Linked DNA regions of Oryzias latipes. The protein of the gene in region 1 interacts with the protein of each later gene in a pairwise test. Links are inferred from orthologs where the notes say so. Each region holds a gene or a part of one and is shown on either strand. Other genes may lie near its edges.

What was found. The genes of interacting proteins can lie anywhere in the genome.
Region 2: the proteins of mcm10 (region 1) and mcm6 interact in binary tests that used the Homo sapiens proteins (3 or more experiments, as listed by UniProt). The two-hybrid records come from large-scale screens. The link is inferred for Oryzias latipes from reciprocal best matches to the Homo sapiens genes MCM10 and MCM6.
Region 3: the proteins of mcm10 (region 1) and cep72 interact in a two-hybrid assay, tested with the Homo sapiens proteins (2 studies listed by BioGRID and IntAct). The two-hybrid records come from large-scale screens. The link is inferred for Oryzias latipes from reciprocal best matches to the Homo sapiens genes MCM10 and CEP72.

What each region holds. Positions count from the first base shown.
Region 1 is NC_019881.2:2,769,748-2,777,599, reverse strand, and holds part of mcm10 (protein MCM10 homolog), read left to right. Parts: intron 1-1,481; 5' UTR 1,482-1,523; coding exon 1,524-1,530; intron 1,531-1,603; coding exon 1,604-2,017; intron 2,018-2,092; coding exon 2,093-2,254; intron 2,255-2,336; coding exon 2,337-2,477; intron 2,478-3,450; coding exon 3,451-3,652; intron 3,653-3,729; coding exon 3,730-3,895; intron 3,896-5,070; coding exon 5,071-5,238; intron 5,239-6,320; coding exon 6,321-6,437; intron 6,438-6,515; coding exon 6,516-6,712; intron 6,713-6,951; coding exon 6,952-7,046; intron 7,047-7,852. UniProt on the Homo sapiens protein: Acts as a replication initiation factor that brings together the MCM2-7 helicase and the DNA polymerase alpha/primase complex in order to initiate DNA replication. Additionally, plays a role in preventing DNA damage during replication.
Region 2 is NC_019875.2:17,213,075-17,219,265, reverse strand, and holds mcm6 (DNA replication licensing factor MCM6), read left to right. Parts: upstream 1-1,215; 5' UTR 1,216-1,318; coding exon 1,319-1,416; intron 1,417-1,566; coding exon 1,567-1,713; intron 1,714-2,165; coding exon 2,166-2,276; intron 2,277-2,359; coding exon 2,360-2,447; intron 2,448-2,523; coding exon 2,524-2,685; intron 2,686-2,759; coding exon 2,760-2,925; intron 2,926-3,019; coding exon 3,020-3,168; intron 3,169-3,251; coding exon 3,252-3,402; intron 3,403-3,482; coding exon 3,483-3,624; intron 3,625-3,709; coding exon 3,710-3,851; intron 3,852-4,153; coding exon 4,154-4,261; intron 4,262-4,341; coding exon 4,342-4,497; intron 4,498-4,571; coding exon 4,572-4,700; intron 4,701-4,790; coding exon 4,791-4,955; intron 4,956-5,037; coding exon 5,038-5,161; intron 5,162-5,246; coding exon 5,247-5,414; intron 5,415-5,502; coding exon 5,503-5,642; intron 5,643-5,725; coding exon 5,726-5,839; 3' UTR 5,840-6,191. UniProt on the Homo sapiens protein: Acts as a component of the MCM2-7 complex (MCM complex) which is the replicative helicase essential for 'once per cell cycle' DNA replication initiation and elongation in eukaryotic cells.
Region 3 is NC_019874.2:16,682,523-16,688,692, reverse strand, and holds cep72 (centrosomal protein of 72 kDa), read left to right. Parts: upstream 1-1,194; 5' UTR 1,195-1,286; coding exon 1,287-1,362; intron 1,363-1,512; coding exon 1,513-1,640; intron 1,641-1,820; coding exon 1,821-2,013; intron 2,014-2,095; coding exon 2,096-2,204; intron 2,205-2,532; coding exon 2,533-2,684; intron 2,685-2,761; coding exon 2,762-2,820; intron 2,821-2,902; coding exon 2,903-2,945; intron 2,946-3,307; coding exon 3,308-3,508; intron 3,509-3,763; coding exon 3,764-3,945; intron 3,946-4,060; coding exon 4,061-4,154; intron 4,155-4,240; coding exon 4,241-4,419; intron 4,420-4,504; coding exon 4,505-4,631; intron 4,632-4,702; coding exon 4,703-4,814; intron 4,815-4,889; coding exon 4,890-4,962; 3' UTR 4,963-4,969; intron 4,970-5,219; 3' UTR 5,220-5,858; downstream 5,859-6,170. Other genes in the region: uncharacterized protein LOC101162471, read right to left, coding at 1-372, 602-685. UniProt on the Homo sapiens protein: Involved in the recruitment of key centrosomal proteins to the centrosome.

The DNA of each region.
Region 1 (7,852 bases):
GGTGATGGTAGCTACGGTTGTAGCCACAGCTTGGCAACCCTTGGCAGACTGAAAGAGGCGAGGCTGCCAGTTTGCGCCTACGGCCCCTCTGACCATCACTGGGACATTCATGCACATCCACACACCAGGCAGGGAGGGTGAAGTGTCTCGTCCAAGAACACTATGACAGCTGGCTGGGTGGAGCGGTGATCGAACCGCCGACCCGTTGGTCATTGGACGACCTGCTCTACCACCTGAGCCACTGCCGCCCATAAAATGACCTCATTTGACCTCTTGGATTGTGCTTTTACCTTGACCAAAACAAACTTGGGTGAGACATTTTAGGACTTGGAACCACGTCTCAACGGTCTGTACAATGTCCTTTTTTTTGTTTTTACTGGAACTCAGTTTCAATTTCCACTTGAGAGATATTAATATACTAATTTAGCTGTGAAAAAGCAGTTATTAGGCCTGTTCACACCGGGACGAATTTCGCCGGCGATTTTCGCCGACGTTTAACGCCTCGTGACTAAACAAAGGGCACCAATGTGAGTGTGCACACCGACGCGAAAAAACGCCACGCGCCAAAGCGTCAAAAAAAAACGCCTCGGGTTCGTTTTTTTTTTCCGACGCGTCGAAATCTATTCGACCAATGAGAACGGCGCTTTTTCACACGTGTCTGGAGCTTCTGAAGTTACAGTAAAACACAACTTGGGGGCGCTCAAACACAAAACTGCCTTGCTGAGCACACATACCAGCGAAGAAGATAGACGCCAAGTAGCGTCTACACAGCCGCGAAGCAATAATGACGGACATTCTAAAATATCCCCGAACCAAGTACCAGTTGGAGCTACTGGTGCTTGAAATATTCATGTTTTCTTTGTATGATTCTGACAAGCGCGTAAATACTTGCTCTCTTCTTCTGAGTGAAAAGCGACTTTAAGAAGCGTAAAGTTGCGCAGCGCCACCTTGTGTACAGGAGTATTTCTGTTTACATTAAGCGCCATCTAATGTCAGGGAATGAAATTGCATGTTCCCTCCACTCATCGTCAGCGAAAATCGCCTGGGTGTGAACACAAAAGACGTGGCGAATAACGCCTGGCGAATATTCGTCCCGGTGTGTACGGGCCTTTAGACATTCATTTATAGTTTTTTATTATTTATTTGATTTTACAGATTTTCAACATTTTGGGAAGTTTATTGCTTTTTTATAAAGTACTCTTTTTCTTCTGGCCATCTCTGTATGAAATTACGTTTTTAAAAAGAACGTAATCTGCATTTGATCTGTTTTTATCGCCATAATGTCTAAAAGGGCGAGAGCAGAGATTAGAACGACAAACTTTCCCAATCTGCTGCAAAATCTTGGATCAGTAAATATCGGTCCTCCCTTAAAAAGCCTTTTTCTTAGTCTCCTTCTCAGTTTATTTGGACTTTTTAAAAATATACTCTTAAAGTACTGCTGTTGTCGCAGAACGAGACATTGATGCATTTTATTTTTCCAGGTAAGCCACTAACCTGCCGGTGACGCATCCATCACCTCCAACATGGACAGTAAGTGTTGTGACATTTTTTGAATTTGAAATAACTTTGGTCGGTTGAAACAAAGAAGATGTCGTTTTTACAGGCGAGGACGATCTGGAGATTTTGACGGCTCTGATTGATGAGGACGGGGGCGAGAGTGAAGAGCAAGAGCAGGGGGATGGCGTGGAAGGCCTCTGTGACGAACACGACAATGAGGACGGAGGCGCGAGTGAAGAGCAACAAGACAACAACCTGGAAGACCTCTGTGACGAAGATGAGGACAGCGGCGCGAGTAAAGAACAAGGGCAGGAAAACGACGACCTGGAAGGCCTCTTTGATGAAGACGATGAAGAGGAGGAGTACAAAGACGGCATTGAGGGGGACATCTTGGCCACAGAGGATGTGGTGACAGAACTTTTTGGAGATGTGGACGACATCCAGAATGAGGAGAAGGATGCAGAAGGGAAAGCGGAGCGTGGAGGAGAGAACCCGGACGTGTCCAAGGAGGAATTGCAGGGTTTGTGCTGGAACGCTTTCAGATCTGACTCACGTTTCGAGGTTCTGTAATTCATCCAGCGCTTTGCTTCTCCAGAGGTCCTTCGGCTCATGCAGGAGAAGATGAAGAAACTGCAGGAGCAGCTGGATGCAAAGCAGAAGGATGTGGCCTCATCGTCCACTAAAGCACTTGGGGGTTTGAAACCACCGGCCGCACCTCTGCCGTCCAAACGATCACAAAAAAGCAAATCACAAGCAGGTAAAGCCAGGCTGCTAACCGGCCTTTGCTGTTTTACACACGCGCTTCCTTAACGTTTGTCTTTCTCGATTTTTATCTGCAGCGCCGTCGACATCCGGCGCAGCGACATCCGGAAGCTCCAAACTGCAGGAGTCCTCAGACTTCTCCTCTCAGCTGAACAATGCAGACTCATTCAAACGCAAACAGAGAGTGGCTCACGCTGCTAAAGCTGCTTCGTATTCCGGTAAAAATACAAAACATTTCCAACATTTCTAGCTGGGGTTACGTGGACAAAAGTAATCGGAAAGAACGCCTGATGGGAATAAAAATGCGCCGTTCGGAATACTCGGCCCCGGTCAGACTCATCCGGATCAAAATGTCTTTCCGATAAAGATGGATGGGTTATGCCGATTGTTGATCCGATCGTGGGGTTAGGTCATGCAAAGACGGTGCGGCGCTCCAGAGGAGGCTTTGGGACGCAAACAAGACCGGCCAGCTGCTCCACGCGAGCGAAGTGCGTCTCTGAGCAGAGCAGCCGGACTCATAGCTTTGTGTTTACGGGCAGTGGGGGTGCTTTGTTAGGGTGTCCGCCCCGCCTCTCTGGGCGAGTGAACTGCAGTGTCTCATGGGAGAACTGTGTCTCCGAGCAGAGCTCAGACCGCCCCAACAAATGCAGCACAGTCCTGAGAAACCGTGTAAACAATCACGTGGATTTGTGTTTCCACTCATGTCCAGACAAAATTAAGGCTGATGTTATTCCCACAGACTAACGTGCAGCCAAGATGCAGACGCCAGCATGACTGCATGGATTTGAACTGCCTCCACGGATAAATGTTGTTGTTGGCACATATTAGCTTAATCCTAACCCGGCTCTGTGCGGCCAAAAAAAACAAGCATCAAGCACTTAATACTAACCATAACCATAACAAAATCAGGTTCAGAAGATCATCTGTTCTATGCTGCAGCTTGTTTGTTTACAACAGAACTCGATATTTCTTCCTTTGCAGTCGTTTCTGTTATTTTAGAGAGTTCTGCGCATGTCCACATGATTTGTTCTGACCGTTTGTAAACGTTTGTTATAATCGTATAAAGTTCTTGGGGCCCATGAACACAGTTCAATTCTAATCTGATCTTTGATCCGATTAAAGATGTTTTTTTCTTCTTAGATTTGCTTTGTTTTTGTGTGAATACATTTTTGTCCGTGGTTTTCTCGTCAGAGGACAGAGGCCCGTTGGTGGAGATAAAGATCGGCAGCTCCTTCCAGCCTCTGGAGAGCAAAGCTGCAGCTCCCGTTCGCTCCCCTCCCGCCCGTCCCAGCACGCCAGCGGCATCGGCAGGAAGGCCTAAGCCGGCCCCTCTTCCTCCTCCCCCTCCCCCCAAAGACGTGGCCGTTGAGAAATACTCAGGACTCAGACTCAGGTGTAATGAAACTGCCAGTGACGAACGCTCACTCTGCTGTCTTTTTGCTTCATGCGTTTGCTTTCCGTCTGAATCAGAAAACCGCGGGTTTCCTCCGTCGAGATGGACCAGAAGATGGCCAGTCGGCGGCTGATCCGTCTGTCACAGGTGCCGGAGCGTCTGACGCGGGAGAAGCTGGAGGACAGCGACTGGGTGACGTTTGGCGTGCTGGTCGACAAGGCAACGCCACAAAGCAGTCGCAGCGTAAGCAAGCAGCGCCGCTCCTGCTGCTCATCCTGCTCATCCTGCTCATCCGTCCAGAGCCACAAATATTATTTAAAAAAAAAATAGTCTTCTGATTTTTGTTTAAAAGATCAGTTTGAAATCATCAAAACACGACAATTAAATCTACACTAGAAAATCTGCTGCAAACTAAAATAAACTCTTCAAATTTCTTCAAAAAGAACTTATAAACCCCCTCCAAGAAATATGTTTTTTTGTGGCATTTCCCTTAATGATGAAGGACACATATGAAGAGTAGAATCTTAAAATTTATTTTTTTGAGTGTTTCTTTATTCAAATTGCAGCGGATCACGATTTCTAATGAACTCCCACCGCCCTACAGAAACTATGTCCTAGAAAACAACACAGGGGTTTTTATTTTGGCCAAAAACGCTTTTACAAAACGCGAAAAGATGGCCAGAGAGGACATATTTATACAACATAACCACAAACATACGTATGGGGGGAGGACACAGACGCCCCAAAGACGAGCTCCAAAACCAACTTCTATGAGCCGTGGTCACAAACAGGGGAGCTCAAGGCGGATTCTCTTCCTTAACCTCCCATGTCAAACGATTCTATTGGCTGGTTGAGCATCTTCGATATTTTTAATTGGTTGACCAAAAGGCAGTGGAGGCAGGACTCCCCCCCCCCCCCCCCCCCCTCCCATCCCGATTGGGAGCCTTTAAGTTTGCAATCTAGTTGCAGTCTCGTTGTATTTTGGGCTGGAAAAAGTTTTCCAACAGTAAAGGAAACTTCAAACCCCTGGTGGAGTTTAAGTTACTTTAGAATTAATTTAAAGGAAATAATGAATTCTTTTTTTTAAATATTGTATTTAAGAACAAGCAGGGCTGACTTGTACATTGAACTGCAGTTTACATTTGAGTTATGGTTTAAAAAAAACAGTTTGTTTTCATTTAATATTGCAATTTTAAAAATGTAAGATGAAATTGTAATTTGCATTGCAAAATGCATTTTTTTAAAGTGCATCATCAAATCGCAAATTACATTATCCATTGAGAATTGCTTATTACTTTGAATTGTGGGAAAAAAACGTCCATATTTGCTGCTGGAGATTTTTTTTCTTCTGATTGCTTTCTTAAAACACGGCCATGTCAGGACAAACTGCAGGATGATCGGTGTTCCGTTCCTCACAGGGAAAAACGTTCAGCATCTGGAAACTCAACGACCTCCACGGCCTGGACGTGTTCGTTTCCCTCCTCCTGTTCGGAGAAGTCCACAAGGAGCACTGGAAGATGGAACCGGGAACGGCGATCGGGCTCCTGAACCCGAACCCCATGAAGCAGAACGACGGATACAAGGGGGTGAGCAGACGGACGGCGGCCATGGAAGCACGTCCTCATTCTTACCGCAGACAGAAAAACTTAAACATGACCGGAATATTTGATCAAATCGAATTCTTCTTAGAAAACTCAACTTGTTTGTTGTTTGAAAAACAATCATTTGGTCAAAAAGACAAGTATTTAATGAAAACATTAAATGATTGAGAACAGGACGTCTGCTGGTTGATCCTTCCGGTTCCGTTTCAGGATCATGAAAACTTTTCCTGATTGAACTTTGGGAATTTATTTGAAAGTTGTATTTTTTCCCTCCTTGATGATGTTTACCTCAAAATCCTCAAAACCATTTTTTTACAACAGTAGTGCAGAGTATTGGATCAAAATCCCTTTCAGAACACTTTACATCAGGGGTGGGCAAACGTTTGGACCCTGGGGCCACAAAGGGTTCTAACATTTGTCACAAAGGCCGAACCAGAGGCATGGTTTTTTTAATGATTTTTTTTCTAAATGATGGATTGTTTATTTCTGATCTCCTAAAGTGCAGCTGTTTCCCTGCATTACCTGCTGTCTGTATGTCAAATACTGACACCAACTAAACCACAGGCAGACAAAGAATACATTGATGGAAAATAAAGATACGTCATCAAAATGTCTACAATTCTTAATAAAGAATGACATTACTAGCATGAGCTGAGGAATCTAAAGGAACCATGATCCAGGCTGTGCTCCGTGCGCCAGAGACGCCCATTCACAGTTTCAGGCTGATACAAACTCTGTCATTCAACACATCATAGGAAACCAATAGTGGGCTACAGTTTTTTTTCCTAGCACTGAGCCCCACCGGCCCCCGATAAATTTGCCCCCCGGCATCACATGCCCCACTATTTGAGAAGCACTGGTTTAGCTAAAGGTTGAGGGGTTTAAGTCTTTAAAGAAATCAAATGTTTCCCCCTTTGTTTTTAATAACCTAGTACCTTAAGTGCAATCGGGAATCTTGAGACGATCCCAGAAAGCTTCAAATAATGTCTGCTGAAGAATCAGCAGAATGTCAGCATTCGGGTTCATTTTGCTTATTCAGAAATGGATTTTTAAAATTATTTTTTTAGGTGAGTCTGACGGTGGATCACCCACAGAAGGTGCTCGTTTTGGGCGAAGCTCAGGACTACGGCACCTGCAAAGCCTCGAAGAAGAACGGAGATCCCTGTTCTCAAATCGTCAACTTGGTGAGTCCTAAGTGAAACCGCGTTTCTTCACCTCCTCCTCCTCCTTCACCTCCCTTCACGATCCGCTCCTCTCTGCAGTACGAATGCCAGTACTGCCAGTACCATGTCAAGGCCCAGTATAAGAAGATGAGCTCAAAGAGGGCGGAGCTGCAGTCATCGTTCTCTGGAAAAGGCCCAAACACCCTGAAGGGGAAGGGGGGCGGCCTCAGACAGCGCCTGTGTCAAGATGGCTTCTACTACGGCGGCGTGTCGTCTTCTGCCTGCGCCGCCACGCTGTGAGTGCAGCTTTGTCCTGGAGGAGTGATCAGAGAGATCTGTCAGGACGCTTCAAGGCTGTTCATTGGTTAAACCTTTGTTGGTTCAGATTTGTGCTTTAGAATTAGCTTTTATGTTACAAACAGTGAAGTACTGTCCTGAAACACAACAAAGTTTATTGTAAACATTTGGCTCAGCAGCACATGAATCATGACACGTCTGTTTTCTGAAAGGCCGTCCTCATTTTCATCTTTTCCAGAACTGCTTCCAAACCGAGCAAACCCCAGCAGAAGACTCTGGAGCAGCTGTTTGTGAGTGGCTCAGCTCAGCTCGTTAGGCGCGCCAAGCAGATAGGTAGGAGCTGCTTGGTCTGTTTGTGGTTTACCACAGACTCAAGGAGGGAGTGACTTAGTTTGTTTTATTTAGTAACTCTGTGGTTGATGTCATCAGATGTGAAGATGCTCTTAACCTTTCTTAGCCTCTACCTCTGTGTCTGCCATGGATGCAGTTAGAAATTGGGTTTTGAGCAGCTTCCTAACCTAACCAGATATCTAACCTAACCAGCTTCCTAACCTAACCAGGTTCCTACCTTAATCAGATTTCTACCTAATCAGCTTCCTAACCTAACCAGAATCCCAACCTAACCAGATATCTAACCTAACCAGATATCTAACCTAACCAGGTTCCTAACCTAACCAGGTTCCTACCTTAATCAGATTTCTACCTAATCAGCTTCCTAACCTAACCAGAATCCCAACCTAACCAGATATCTAACCTAACCAGATTCCTAACCTAACCAGATTCCTAACCTAACCATATTCCCACAGCAGCAAGCAGAATATGTTTGATTTTAAATTGAACTAGATTTGGTTAAAAAGATGATTTGGCAAATTATCACACTAAGACCAATTTAGTTTGGTTTTAAAACCCGTTTAAAAAAAAAAATTAAGTAAACAAAAGAGGAACCTTTAACCACAAACATACACATTCACCAGCTAATAGAAAAGCCTTTTTAGTCTTAAAAATAAAGGAAATAGCATTAAAGCTGAATCCATTCATGTTTTTGTTGAAACAGTGTTGTATTTTAGGTGTAGAGGGATCGATTTTGTTGCTTATTTCTAAACCTCCTCCTATAGAACACACTAACCAGGTAACCAGCA
Region 2 (6,191 bases), on another chromosome or scaffold:
AGAATATTTGTGAGGTGAAAAGTTGTGTTTGTATACAAGGGACCATGAAAGGAGAGCTTGGCGATAAAATGCAGATAACTTAAGTGGGATTTTACATAAATCATAATTACACATGAGAAAGAAATCAGCGGCACCAATTTTAGATAAAATATGAAGAGGTATAGTGTTCCAAATGGAGCTGGGATTTCTAAAAAGTTGTTTTAGCCAATAAATTTAAATGTGTTATTCAAGGTATAAAAATCGAGAAAATTGAGGCCACCTTTGTCAAAGGAGTTCATGAGAACATTTTTTTAAGTAATGGGTTCTGTTTTTCCAGATGAAATTAAAAAGCATTTTGCCAATTTCTTTGATAATTTTATCATCAACGTGTAAAGCCAAAGCTGCATATGTTAAGCGGGAAATACCTTCTGCTTTGCTGAGTAAAATCCTACCTCCCAAAGATAGATCTCTAGAGAGCCACTTTCTTACTAAAACGATTCATTTGGGGGAATTACACATGTCGGTATAGCCTTCTCTTTCATGAATGACTTATTCATCTTTGTAGAAAATGATCTACTTTATCTATTCAATAAACAGTCTTAACTTTATCTGTTTTGACAAGTCAATTAATAATTTAAAGTAATATGGTCAAATTTCAATTTACTTCTTACATTAAATGCATTGATACGTTGACTTTTGGCTTCTCCCATCAGGGGTCATCACAGCACAACAACCCTCCTTCGAAGATGAGTCCCATGGTTAATTTGGCAATGATTTTACGCCGGATGCCCTTCCTGACACAACCCTCTCAATCCAACCGGGCTTGGGACCGGCACAGCAGCAGAGAAGGGAACAGGGAGCAGCCCGGATTTGAACCCTGGTTTCACGGACGGAAGGCGCTGCAAACCAGCACGAGCTAAACCGGCCCCAATACAATATTTTAAAATGTTATTTTCGCCAAAAGTAAATATTATAGATTTATTGTATACAAAATTATTGTATTTATTTATGTATTTATTAATTTTGTTTTTGTATTATTTTCTCGTTTTAAATAAAGTTCTCTGGGAAGAAAAAAAATCCCGCAGGGACAGTCAAAGAAACGCCCCTATTTCTACGTCACTTCAATGTTTCGCTTTTAATTGGCTGATATTGCGAGTGACTCCGCACCGTGGCGCCGATAGGACGAAAAAACCGCGCCAAACGTCACGTGGCCTCACTTTTCGCGCGAAACCGCCTTCTGTTGTTGGGACTGAAGATCTGTGCTCGCCACCGTGTCCTCCTTCCTTCCACACGCGGAGTGTTCCTTTGAATCTCTGAGGCAGTTTTGCTACAGCGCAGGATGGACGTTGCTACAGCGACCGCGGAGCATGCCGGGACGACGGTGAAGGACGAGCTGGCGGAGAAATGTCAGAAGTTATTCCAGGCTTTCTTAGAGGAGTGAGTATCAGAGTATCCATCCAGCAGGAAGAGTCTTTGTTGTCGGCCTTGACAAGTCAATCACGAGTTGATCGCCTGCTTAAACACCTCTTTTTATTTAGATTTTCTTGGTTATAAAGTGAGTCTAAGGTTAGTTTTGCTTCTGTGCAGATTCCAGACCGCCGATGGGGAGGTGAAGTATCTCCGGGAGGGGGAAGAGCTGATCAGGCCTGAGAGGAACACTCTGGTGGTGAGCTTCACAGACCTGGAGGGCTTCAACCAAGAGCTGGCCACCACCATCCAGGAGGAGTACTACAGGCGAGTATGGAGAGCAAATACACCCACTGGAGTTGTGTGTGTGTGTGTGTATGTGCTGTGTGTGTAATTCTTGATTTGAAGGTCATTTTGTGTATTCACATGCACAAATGTAAAGAATTTAAAAACGCACAAATACAATTTACGCACAACTTGTAATGACAGCTGACAATGTCAAGTATTTACTAGATATTATTCACAAAGTAAGTTTAAAACTCTGATGACCCAGCATTCTAGCAGCATTTAAATGCATCATCTACCCACTGATCTGAAGACGTGACGTCTCACAACCCCTGGTGCAAAGCATAGTTCGTTTTTAGCTGCTGTCATTTCAAGTTGTGCGTAAATTGTATTTTGTATTTGCACATTATTGATCTGTTACTTCATGAAGGAACAGAACAGCTTTTGGTTGGAAGGGGGCCGCTTGTGTTAAAGTCGGACTTCTGCATTTTCAGGGTGTATCCGTACCTGTGCAGAGCAGTGCGCAACTTTGCTCGAGATCACGGGAACGTGCCGCTCACCAAAGAGTTTTACGTAGCCATCGAGGATCTGCCTACAAGACACAAGTAAGAGCGATGCAGGAACTATCACTGTTCATAAATGTCAATCAAGACGGTCAAATCGACGGTCTTTTCTGTGTCCTTTACAGGATCCGTGAGCTGTCCTCCATGCGGATCGGTACCCTGGTGAAGATCAGCTGTCAGGTGGTGAGGACCCACCCAGTCCACCCTGAGCTGGTAAGATTCCCCCTAAACGACCACATTTCATCACAGAAATGTGGACTTGTCGATGATGGATGCCTTGCGGCTGCAGGTGAGCGGCACCTTCGTGTGCATGGACTGCCAGATGGTGATCAAAGACGTCCCGCAGCAGTTCAAGTACTCGCCCCCCACCATCTGCAGAAACCCCGTCTGCAGCAATCGCTCCCGCTTCCACCTCGACACGCACAAGTCCAAGTTCATTGATTTTCAGAAGGTAGTGTGTGATGGAGCGGTCGTGCAGCTGGTCGCTGTTCTGTGTCTGATTTAGGGTGATACTTGTGTGCTCAGGTGCGTATCCAGGAGACGCAAGCAGAGCTGCCCCGGGGTTCAATCCCGCGGTCGCTGGAGGTCGTCCTGAGGGCAGAGGCTGTGGAGACGGCCCAGGCCGGAGATCGCTGCGACTTCACCGGGACACTCATCGTCGTGCCGGACGTCTCTCAGCTCAGCACTCCTGGTAAGACTTCACTGTGGGTGAACTGTACCTTTTTACTTTTGCATTTTGAACTTTGACCCTTCACGGTTGGGTGTTTTGAATGTCTTGTTGTCAGGTTTGCGAGCTGAAACCAGTTCCCGTGTGGGCGGGGGGCGCCAGGGCTACGAGGCGGAGGGTTTGAGGGGACTGAAAGCTCTGGGAGTCAGGGAGTTGTCGTACCGACTGGCTTTTCTAGCCTGCAACGTCGCACCGACCAACCCAAGAGTAAGAACTCCGCCCCAAACACACACACACACACACACATTTCAGGCTCCAACAGTCGTATAACTGTGAATAATTGTGTGTAGTTCGGTGGGAAGGAGCTTCGTGATGAAGAACAGACAGCTGAGAGCATCAAGAGTCAGATGACAGAAAAAGAATGGGAGAAAGTGTTTGAAATGAGTCAGGACAAGAATCTGTACCACAACCTGTGCACCAGCCTCTTCCCCACCATCCATGGTTGGTTCTACCTCCTCTGTTCTACCGCTTCTCCTTTGTTTTTAAAAAACAAAAGTCACATCTGCTGCCTGATCTTGTAGGAAATGACGAGGTGAAGCGCGGTATCCTGCTGATGCTGTTCGGTGGCGTTCCCAAGACGACGATGGAGGGGACCTCTCTGAGAGGAGACGTCAACGTCTGCATCGTCGGAGACCCGAGTACCGCAAAAAGCCAGTTCCTGAAGTGCGTGACGCGCCCGGCAGGAACACGCCGCTGAACCGCTTAAAGGTGAACTACTTCAGGAAGTAACGGGGTCGTTTGTGTTCAGGCACGTGGAGGAGTTCTCTCCCAGAGCGGTGTACACCAGCGGGAAAGCCAGCACCGCCGCAGGTCTGACGGCGGCTGTCGTCCGGGACGAAGAGTCGCACGAGTTCGTCATTGAGGCGGGAGCTCTGATGCTCGCGGATAACGTAAGGCATCCGGGTTAAAGACACACTCTGATGTACTTTGTGTTTGTATTTTTCTGATGATGGAAAGAAAATTAAGCCTAGAATTGCATTTCTGAGTATTTTTTTAAATAAAATTGTTTTGAGCAGACGAAATAAATGCAGTTTGGAAAAGATTGCGTTGATGATAGGTTTCCTCCATTCTGATGCATCTACTTGCATGGATCCATGTTACGTTTTTGCTTTCCTCGTCTAAGTTGGAATCTGTATTAAAAGACCACTGGGAAGGCTTATTTAAAAAAAAACGTCCATATGTCTGCTTTTAGGGGGTGTGCTGCATCGACGAGTTTGATAAGATGGACATCAAAGACCAGGTGGCCATCCACGAGGCCATGGAGCAGCAGACCATCAGCATCACCAAAGCCGGAGTGAAGGTAATGCTGCAAAGCCTTGAGATAAAAAGGGGAGAGCGAGGCTGGTGAGGGGAGTAAATAGGTGGATTTTGCGGTTTCAGGCGACCCTGAACGCCCGCACGTCCATCCTAGCTGCAGCCAACCCCGTCGGCGGCCGCTACGACCGCAGCAAGAGCCTGAAGCAGAACGTTAACCTGACCGCCCCCATCATGAGCCGCTTTGACCTCTTCTTCATCCTGGTGGACGACTGCAATGAGGTGTGATTTTGTGTGAAAGGGTTTTGTCGTGTCTTTTTCCCCCCTCCCATAACCTCTGTCCTCGCCGATGTCAGGTCACAGATTACGCAATCGCAAGACGAATCGTGGACCTTCACTCGCGCGTGGAGGAGTCCGTGGACAGGCTTTATTCTCTGGATGAGATTCGAAGATACCTGCTTTTTGCCAGACAGTTTAAACCAAAGGTGTGTGCTTTTTTTCAATTTAATTTTTCATGGTATTAAACCCTAAAATGTGACTCCTTAATTTTTGGAGTGTGTCCCCTCCTTTTCCAGATCTCCAAAGAGTCTGAGGAGTTCATTGTGGAGCAGTACAAGCGCCTCCGCCAGCGAGACAGCACTGGAAGCGTCTCCAAGTCTGCCTGGAGGATAACCGTTCGGCAGCTGGAGAGCATGATTCGCCTTTCTGAAGCCATGGCGCGCATGCACTGCTGCGATGAGGTACGGCCTTCACTCAAACGAAACACCTGGAACGTTTCCTGCGTCGCCCTTCTGTCTGACATTTTTTTCTCTGCAACTTCAGGTGCAGCCCAAACATGTGAAGGAAGCTTTCCGCCTTCTCAACAAGTCTATCATCCGAGTGGAGACTCCTGATATCAACCTGGAGCAGGAGGACGAAGTGGAGGAGGAGGAGCAACAGGAGGAAGGTGATGACACGCTCCCCATCAATACGGGGGGGGGGGGGGGGGGTGGCAGCACTACCTTGTATTTCATGAGCGCTCCTGTTTCTAGGCAACAATGTTCCAAATGGAGTCAATGGTCACGTCAATGGCCACATGGAGGATGTGAACGGCCACTCGGAGCACAGCGCTCAGTCCAAGCCGTCCCTCCGCCTGTCGTTCTCCGAGTACAAGCGCATCTCCAACCTGCTGGTGCTTCACCTGCGCAGAGTGGAGGAGGGTACGGCTTCTGGATTTTCACGGTCCCCCCCATTGCATTTGCCTTTTTTGTTTGTTTGTTTGTTTTAACGTTGTCATCTGTGCTGCAGCTGAGGAAGAGGAGGAGCTGAAGAAAAACGCTGTGGTGAACTGGTATCTGAAGGAGATTGAGTCAGAGATCGACTCAGAGGAGGAGCTCATCAATAAGAAGGGCCTGATAGAGAAGGTGATCCACAGGCTGGTGCATTATGTGAGTAACCCTCCTGGTGTTTTAGATAATTAAACGTTATAGAACAAACCGGTCAATTTATTTCAAATTTCTGTTTTTTTTAGGACCATATCCTAATCGAGCTGTCCCAGGCAGGACTGAAGGGCTCAGAGTCTGGGAGCACAGAGGAGGAGGAAGTTGTTCTAGTTGTCAACCCCAACTACACCCTGGAGGACTAAACTGTCTGCATCATCCTCCATCATTGATGCTTCAATGGATTTCTTACATTGCAGCCTCTAAAATGCTGTTGGACTTATTTTTCGAGTTGACCTCAGCTATTTAAAAAGAAAAAAAACAAGGGAAAAACAAAAAAAAGCAACGTTTAGGGATTTTCAAGATGAATAAACTGTAAATAGGTTTCCGCTGCTTTTTCTAACTCACTGACTTTTGTGTAACCTAAATTGAAAGCTTTCCACAGTATATATATTCAATTCAAATGTCACATTTGAAAGACTGGGTTTCAAGTTATGTTTTGTGTGTTATGATGGAAATTAAATGGTAGTTTAAATAATAAAAATATTTGTAAGCAAA
Region 3 (6,170 bases), on another chromosome or scaffold:
CTCCATGAGTAATGGCAAACTGAGGGCTACACCTCCTACAGCACCCAAAACATTACCAGCAAACAGACACACCATCAGGCAGCAGGACAGAGACGACAGACCCAGGCAGCGAGTCAACACAGTTAGAGTTTCAGCCGACAGCCAGTCTGAGAGTCCCAGTAGCAGACAGGAGCCAATCAGGAGGGTCCATGCGGTGCCGTGATCCTCGCTGAGCCACAGGAATTCAAAAGCAACCAGCACTGGTGCCAGCACCTCCCCAGCCCAAGTGGCTTGCTTTTTGAGAGAGGCCAGGTGTGAGCTTGAAGGCAGGAGGACCCAAAGCGTGGCAGAGAGACCAAGCAGGAAGAGGCCTATTGAGGGGCCCCTGTGATCCTGCAGAACATGAGATTATAGTCTGTTTAATATATTGAGAATTTGTGACCATACTCTTAAAGGGAAAACATAAACACACTGATGTTGACGAAGGCAAGCATAATCAATTTTATAAAAGATTACTTTTTAGTAGCTGGTGTATTATAAAAAAAAGCCTCATCTTTATTGAAGTATACTCTGTTTATCAAAAAGCATTCTACAAGTTTTAAATATAAAATAAGAGACGAACCTTGAAGAGTTTGCGTGAAAAGTATAAAGCTGTGGTGGACAGAATGATGTTACTACAACATGCCATCCACTCTGTTGACGCCATTCAGGAAAGCGCGCCGGAACACAAACCTGCAAACACACCGGAACTAAAGTGACAATATTTTTACTTAAAGTTCAAATGAAACTACTGACGCTGCCCCTTTTTATAACTGGACTGAACAGAAAGACTAAACTTTGGGGCAAGGAGGAGCAGAACAATGTTTGTGTTCACACGTGACAGAATGTCTTCAGAGCACTGCGCATGCTCCAAAGGAGGCGTTCAAAGTCCCTTGTAAATTCTGAGACGTTGTCAACCATATTAATAATGATCAAACTAGCAAAGATCGGTTAACACTTTTTGTTAAACGTTATTTATTCTTGTTTTATTGGAAATATAATTCTTTGTTTAAAAAAAACATTTTAGGTTCTGTCGAGTAAACGAGTAAATCGTTATTTTTAGGTCGCTGTTAACTACTAAAAAGTTACCATTTTAAAGAGGGTTTTGTGTTAGTGTGTGACATACTCATGCGACAGAGTATTTAACTGAATTTTTTCCTCATAAATTTAAAACTTTACTCCGTTGCACACTGACTGTGTTATTTTTGTTTCTTTCATTGAAGTCGTTTTTTCACGACAGCACTTGAAGGCAGCAAAGTTTGAAAAGTATGGCGACGGAGTGTCTAACAACAATCTCAGAGCAATGGATACGCGACAGATTACAACTAAAACATCCGTGTCTCGGTAAGAGTTTCATTCACCTGTGCATTGGAAAAACAAAAACCCCGCGTAAAACATTTTTTCTGTCTGACTGAAAGCAGATTAGCTATTCAAAGCTATTTTATGATGAACCGTCATCTTTTGGTCATTCATTGTTGTGTGTTTGATGCGCAGGTGATGTCCGGTCACTGAGCCTCCCAGGAACGTTAGAGGAGAAGATTGGACATCTAGGGAACGCTCTGAATAACTTCATTCGCCTGAAGTCTCTGGATCTTTCCTACAACGCCCTGGTTTCTGTGGAGGTTTGATATTTTTAATTTTTCTTATATTAAGAAAATACTTTATACTATAAAAAAAAGTCTCTTCAGAATTTATATTAAACTGATTTCAAATCACAGTCATTTTTTTTATTTTATTTCATGTGACTATTATTTCCATTGTTGGATGAATGCTTACAAATCTGGTTCCTGTTCTTTCTTTAGGGGCTGCAGCATTTAAAAAAACTGGAGAGGTTGATTCTTTATCATAACTGCATACCATCTCTTGAAGAGGTGAAAACTCTGTTCCAGCTTCCTGTTTTAAGAGAGCTGGACCTCAGGCTCAACCCTCTCACCAAAAACTGCCCACACTACTGGGCTTATATCGTGCACGCCTTGCCCAGCTTGCGAAAGCTTGGTAAGCTGGAGTCATCTGGGCCTGTTTTTGTGACTGTTTTCTGTCAAGTTCCCGACATCGTAATGAGCTTTTGGGTTTGCAGACAGCTGCTCGGTCAGAGAGACGGAACGCAAAGTTGCCATCATGCAGTTCTCCTCTGATCTTCCTCCTCAGCAGAAGAGATGCTCTCTGAATCTGGCTGAAGATCAAAGGTACGCCGAGCACAAAATCAGTTTAATGCACAAAACCTTCTTAATGCAGGCTTTAAACACCAATCTGGTCTAAATTCAGAAACTGTATGGAGCTCAGATGATGGAAATCCAGCGGTATATTATAAAGCTGCAATACACACACTTTTATCTCAAGGTTTTTTTCATCTTGTTTCATCCTTTTGTAATAAATCTATTCGTTAATTTCCATCAAACCTGCTTTCTTAAACTAGCTTGTTATTGAAGCCTGGAAGCATCAAATATGTGGTTTTTAATGTATATTTCAACCTTTTAATTAGTTATTTCTCTGTTCTGTGCCTGTTGCTGTCAGAAGCAGCAGGTTTCGTCTGGCTTTGGTCGACCGTTTGACCAAGAGGCTGTCACTCTCAGCAGAAAGTCAGGATATTGTGTTAAACAGAGTCGAGGCTGACCTTGGAGACCAATCTAAAAGAGTCAGCGACTCCGTTTACAGGAAAGGAGAAGGTAAGGACCCTTAAAGGTAATTTTTAATCACACCAAACCTGCTGACGTTCTTTCTTCACGTTGAAACCTTATTCTAGAACCCAAGGAGGAAATATTACAAAATTTCACAGAGAAGAAGAGTTCAACTCCAAAACAGGTGACTTTCTTTTTCTCCATGTCTGATTAAAAAAAAATAGTCACCCTATGCTTGCATGAATGACGGCACCCTTTGCTTGTAGGAATCTACTAAATCCATCCTCAGATATTCACCCAATATCAATGGTAAGTGTGTTTTTGGGTATTTATTTAATGATTTAATTATCTGTGTGTATATCAGAGCACTAGTAAGCAGATGGATTGCAGCAGTTGCTAAAGCAGCTAAAATGTATTTAAGTTGGTCTGAATAAGAGATTTTGTAAACCAATTCATAATGCATCATATTTTTCCCTAACATTTAAGGAAACAGTTCATGGCAATAAAAAGAGATTTTTGGTGGTGTTTGCCTCATTGTTGACTAACTATAATATTTTCAATTGTTTAAGCAGAAACATAAATGTCCACCAGGGAGAGCTAGATGTCAACTCCATAAAAATGTCTGACACTAAAAGATGAAAACATATTTGTGCCTTTCTGTGAATTTACAGATGTTGTTGTATCCAGAGGGCTACAGATGAAGGAGACACCTCCAATGAAAAACTCTACCTCATCTAAAGTAGCTGAAAGGCCTAAAGTGTCCTTCGGTCCTTTTGTAGAGAAACACAGTGCAGACAGAGGACTTCCAAACCAGAAGCTGTCCTTTAAACAAATCAGACACGAAGCTAAGGGCCATTTTACTCCAAACCCTGGTTATATATATATATATATATATATATATATATATATATATATATATATATATATATATATATATATATATATATATATATATATATATATATATATATATATATATATATATATATATATATATATATATATATATATATATATATATATATTTATTTATATTGTGTATTTAACAACTGCTATTTATTGTGGAATTTTGCCAAAGTTCACATTCCTCACTTCCTTGGAACTCTGAATGTACATGACTTTTTCAGATCAAAGCCAGTGTCGTAGCACCTCATTGATCAACATCCGTCCTGCCAGTCCACTGCAACCCGGTTTGACTCTGTCTGAGTCCTCTAACCCCATCTTACACCCTGCAAGACTCACCTACTCTAGCATCAACACGGCAGACGGGAGCAGCAGCCTGAAACAACAAGCTGGAAGGAAAAAAAGGGTTAACATTCAGTTCAGCTCTCCGACTGATTTATACTCTAAATCATAAACCTTTCTTTATTTATGCAAGGATCTTTTTATAGAAAACTTACAGCCTCTGCGAATTCCATTCTCAGGGTACTTACCGGAAGCCCCTGGAGATGCTTCTGAACCTCGTTGACAAACACTGGAGGGGCGAGAGGTCACTGCACCATAACAACAACTTCCTGTGTGAGCTTGCTTTGGGAAATGTGGTTTCTAATTACAAGATCCTGTCAAGATGCATGTCTTCTCACTTTCTCTATTTTAAACTCCAGCTCAAGCTGTCCAAATCCTCTCTATGATGGAGAGCGACATTTCCAGTCGAGAGGCTGAGGTCAGGACCTTAAGGCAGGATGTTGATACACTCAGAATTCAAGCTGTTGCCCGGGAGGAAGAACACAAAACTGAAGTCAGGAAGCTCTCTGCTCAGCTGGAGGAAACTCGTAGAACCGAGGTAAGTTCATTAATCATAGATAAAAACTTTGCATTGGAGCGCGTTGACACTGATCAGCATACTATACTGCCGCTTTTTGACGCAGGGGAAACTAAACGAGCAGCTGAGGATCGTCTTGGAGGAAAATGTCACACTGCAGAAGCAGCTCATCAAGTTAGAGCGTCAGTACCTCAAATCAATGATAAGAAGTTCACCGATGACTCAGATCAGAGGTGGGTGGAAACGCAATCGTTGTGTGGAGATCTTTTTTAGAAACTACTAGCTTGTGTTTGCTCATCTTTAGAGGCTCAGACAGAAGTGGAGGAGCTAAAGAAGGACATCGAGGGACTGAGGAGGAAAGTGCATGAAGCTGAAAAGATCCAGGACCTTTCAAATATGCTGCAAGAGAGCCACAAGTACGGAGATCCTGCAGGCTGACGTGCAGAGCGCTGTTTTTGCACAGCAAGATCATTTTTCTTTCTTTTTTGCAGGTCTCTGGTGGCTACCAACCAGTCTTTGCTTGCCGAGCTGAAGGGAAGCGGAGAGCATTTGAGGCAGATATGATGGAAAGGTGCATTTGAACATATTATTTTAATCACGGTAGTTTTTTCTTTTAAAAGAATTAGCACAGACTTTCTTCTTGATATAAACAGTAACCAGGGAGAGCCATTCATTCATGAAATTGTGTATATCTGCACGTCAGGTCTGTTATGCTAACAAATTATTATCAGGGAGAAAATGTGAGAAGGTAGGTCGGTGTCGTAGGTTTTCTGGATCTTGTTGTAAGATCTTTTTCTTTTTTTTTCTCTGTTTTTTTTTAGGTCAGTTGTGTCTGTCTGCAATGGAGTGGATGCATCAAGGCTGCAGCTGCACTCTGACTTTATTTATACGTCTGCCTGAAGGGCTAGAGGGCTGCGCACGCACATGCACTTTCCTCTCACAAACCTTAATACAAGACTGACCAGCTTAGCATTTCTATGCAACACAAAGTCCACACAGCTTTGGCTCTCCTCTAAATGTTACCGGTCACTGGTTTGGTGCTGTTGCTGCAGTTTGATTTTTGACTCCTACTCGGCACATGTTGGGATTTCTTTATTTTTTGAATAAAGCACTATAAATCATGAACACACCTGGAGAAATCTCGAGATCAAGGACAGACGCTGAAACACGGCATGCACTGGGTCACAATGAGCATGTTAAAAAGGACTTGGAAAACTATTGTTTCTCCACAATAAAAGTGCACATTATTTGGCATCAGAAGCACAGAAACGATACTCCAGCGTTCGCAGCAGACACAAAAACACACCGAGCTGCTAGTTTTGATGCATGACTCTTCATCGGCTGAGGCTACAGGTAGTGCGTTACACAAGAAACTGTTATCTTGGAAAAATATTTTACAAAAGTGGCTTGTTTGTTTCTCCTTTCATGTGGAATACTTAGTAAATAAACATTAAAAAAACCCTGCTTCGTCAGTTCGATAACCAAACATTAACAGTACAGACAAAAAGAGTTGCATTCGAGGATAATTTACTTTGCAAACATTTCAAGCAACACAAGATTTTATCAGTATCCCACGGCTTCAATGACATTTTAAGCACAACAGTTGTTAGTTTGGCACAGCAGTTTCAGAGTTTTCATCCATAAAGGCCCTGGAACAATATATTCAGAACATGCAAAAAAAAGTACACATCACAGGAAAATTTAAAACACACAACCAGTGATTTAAATTAGGGTGCGCGGCTAAATATGTCTGAATATTTACACAGTCTTGC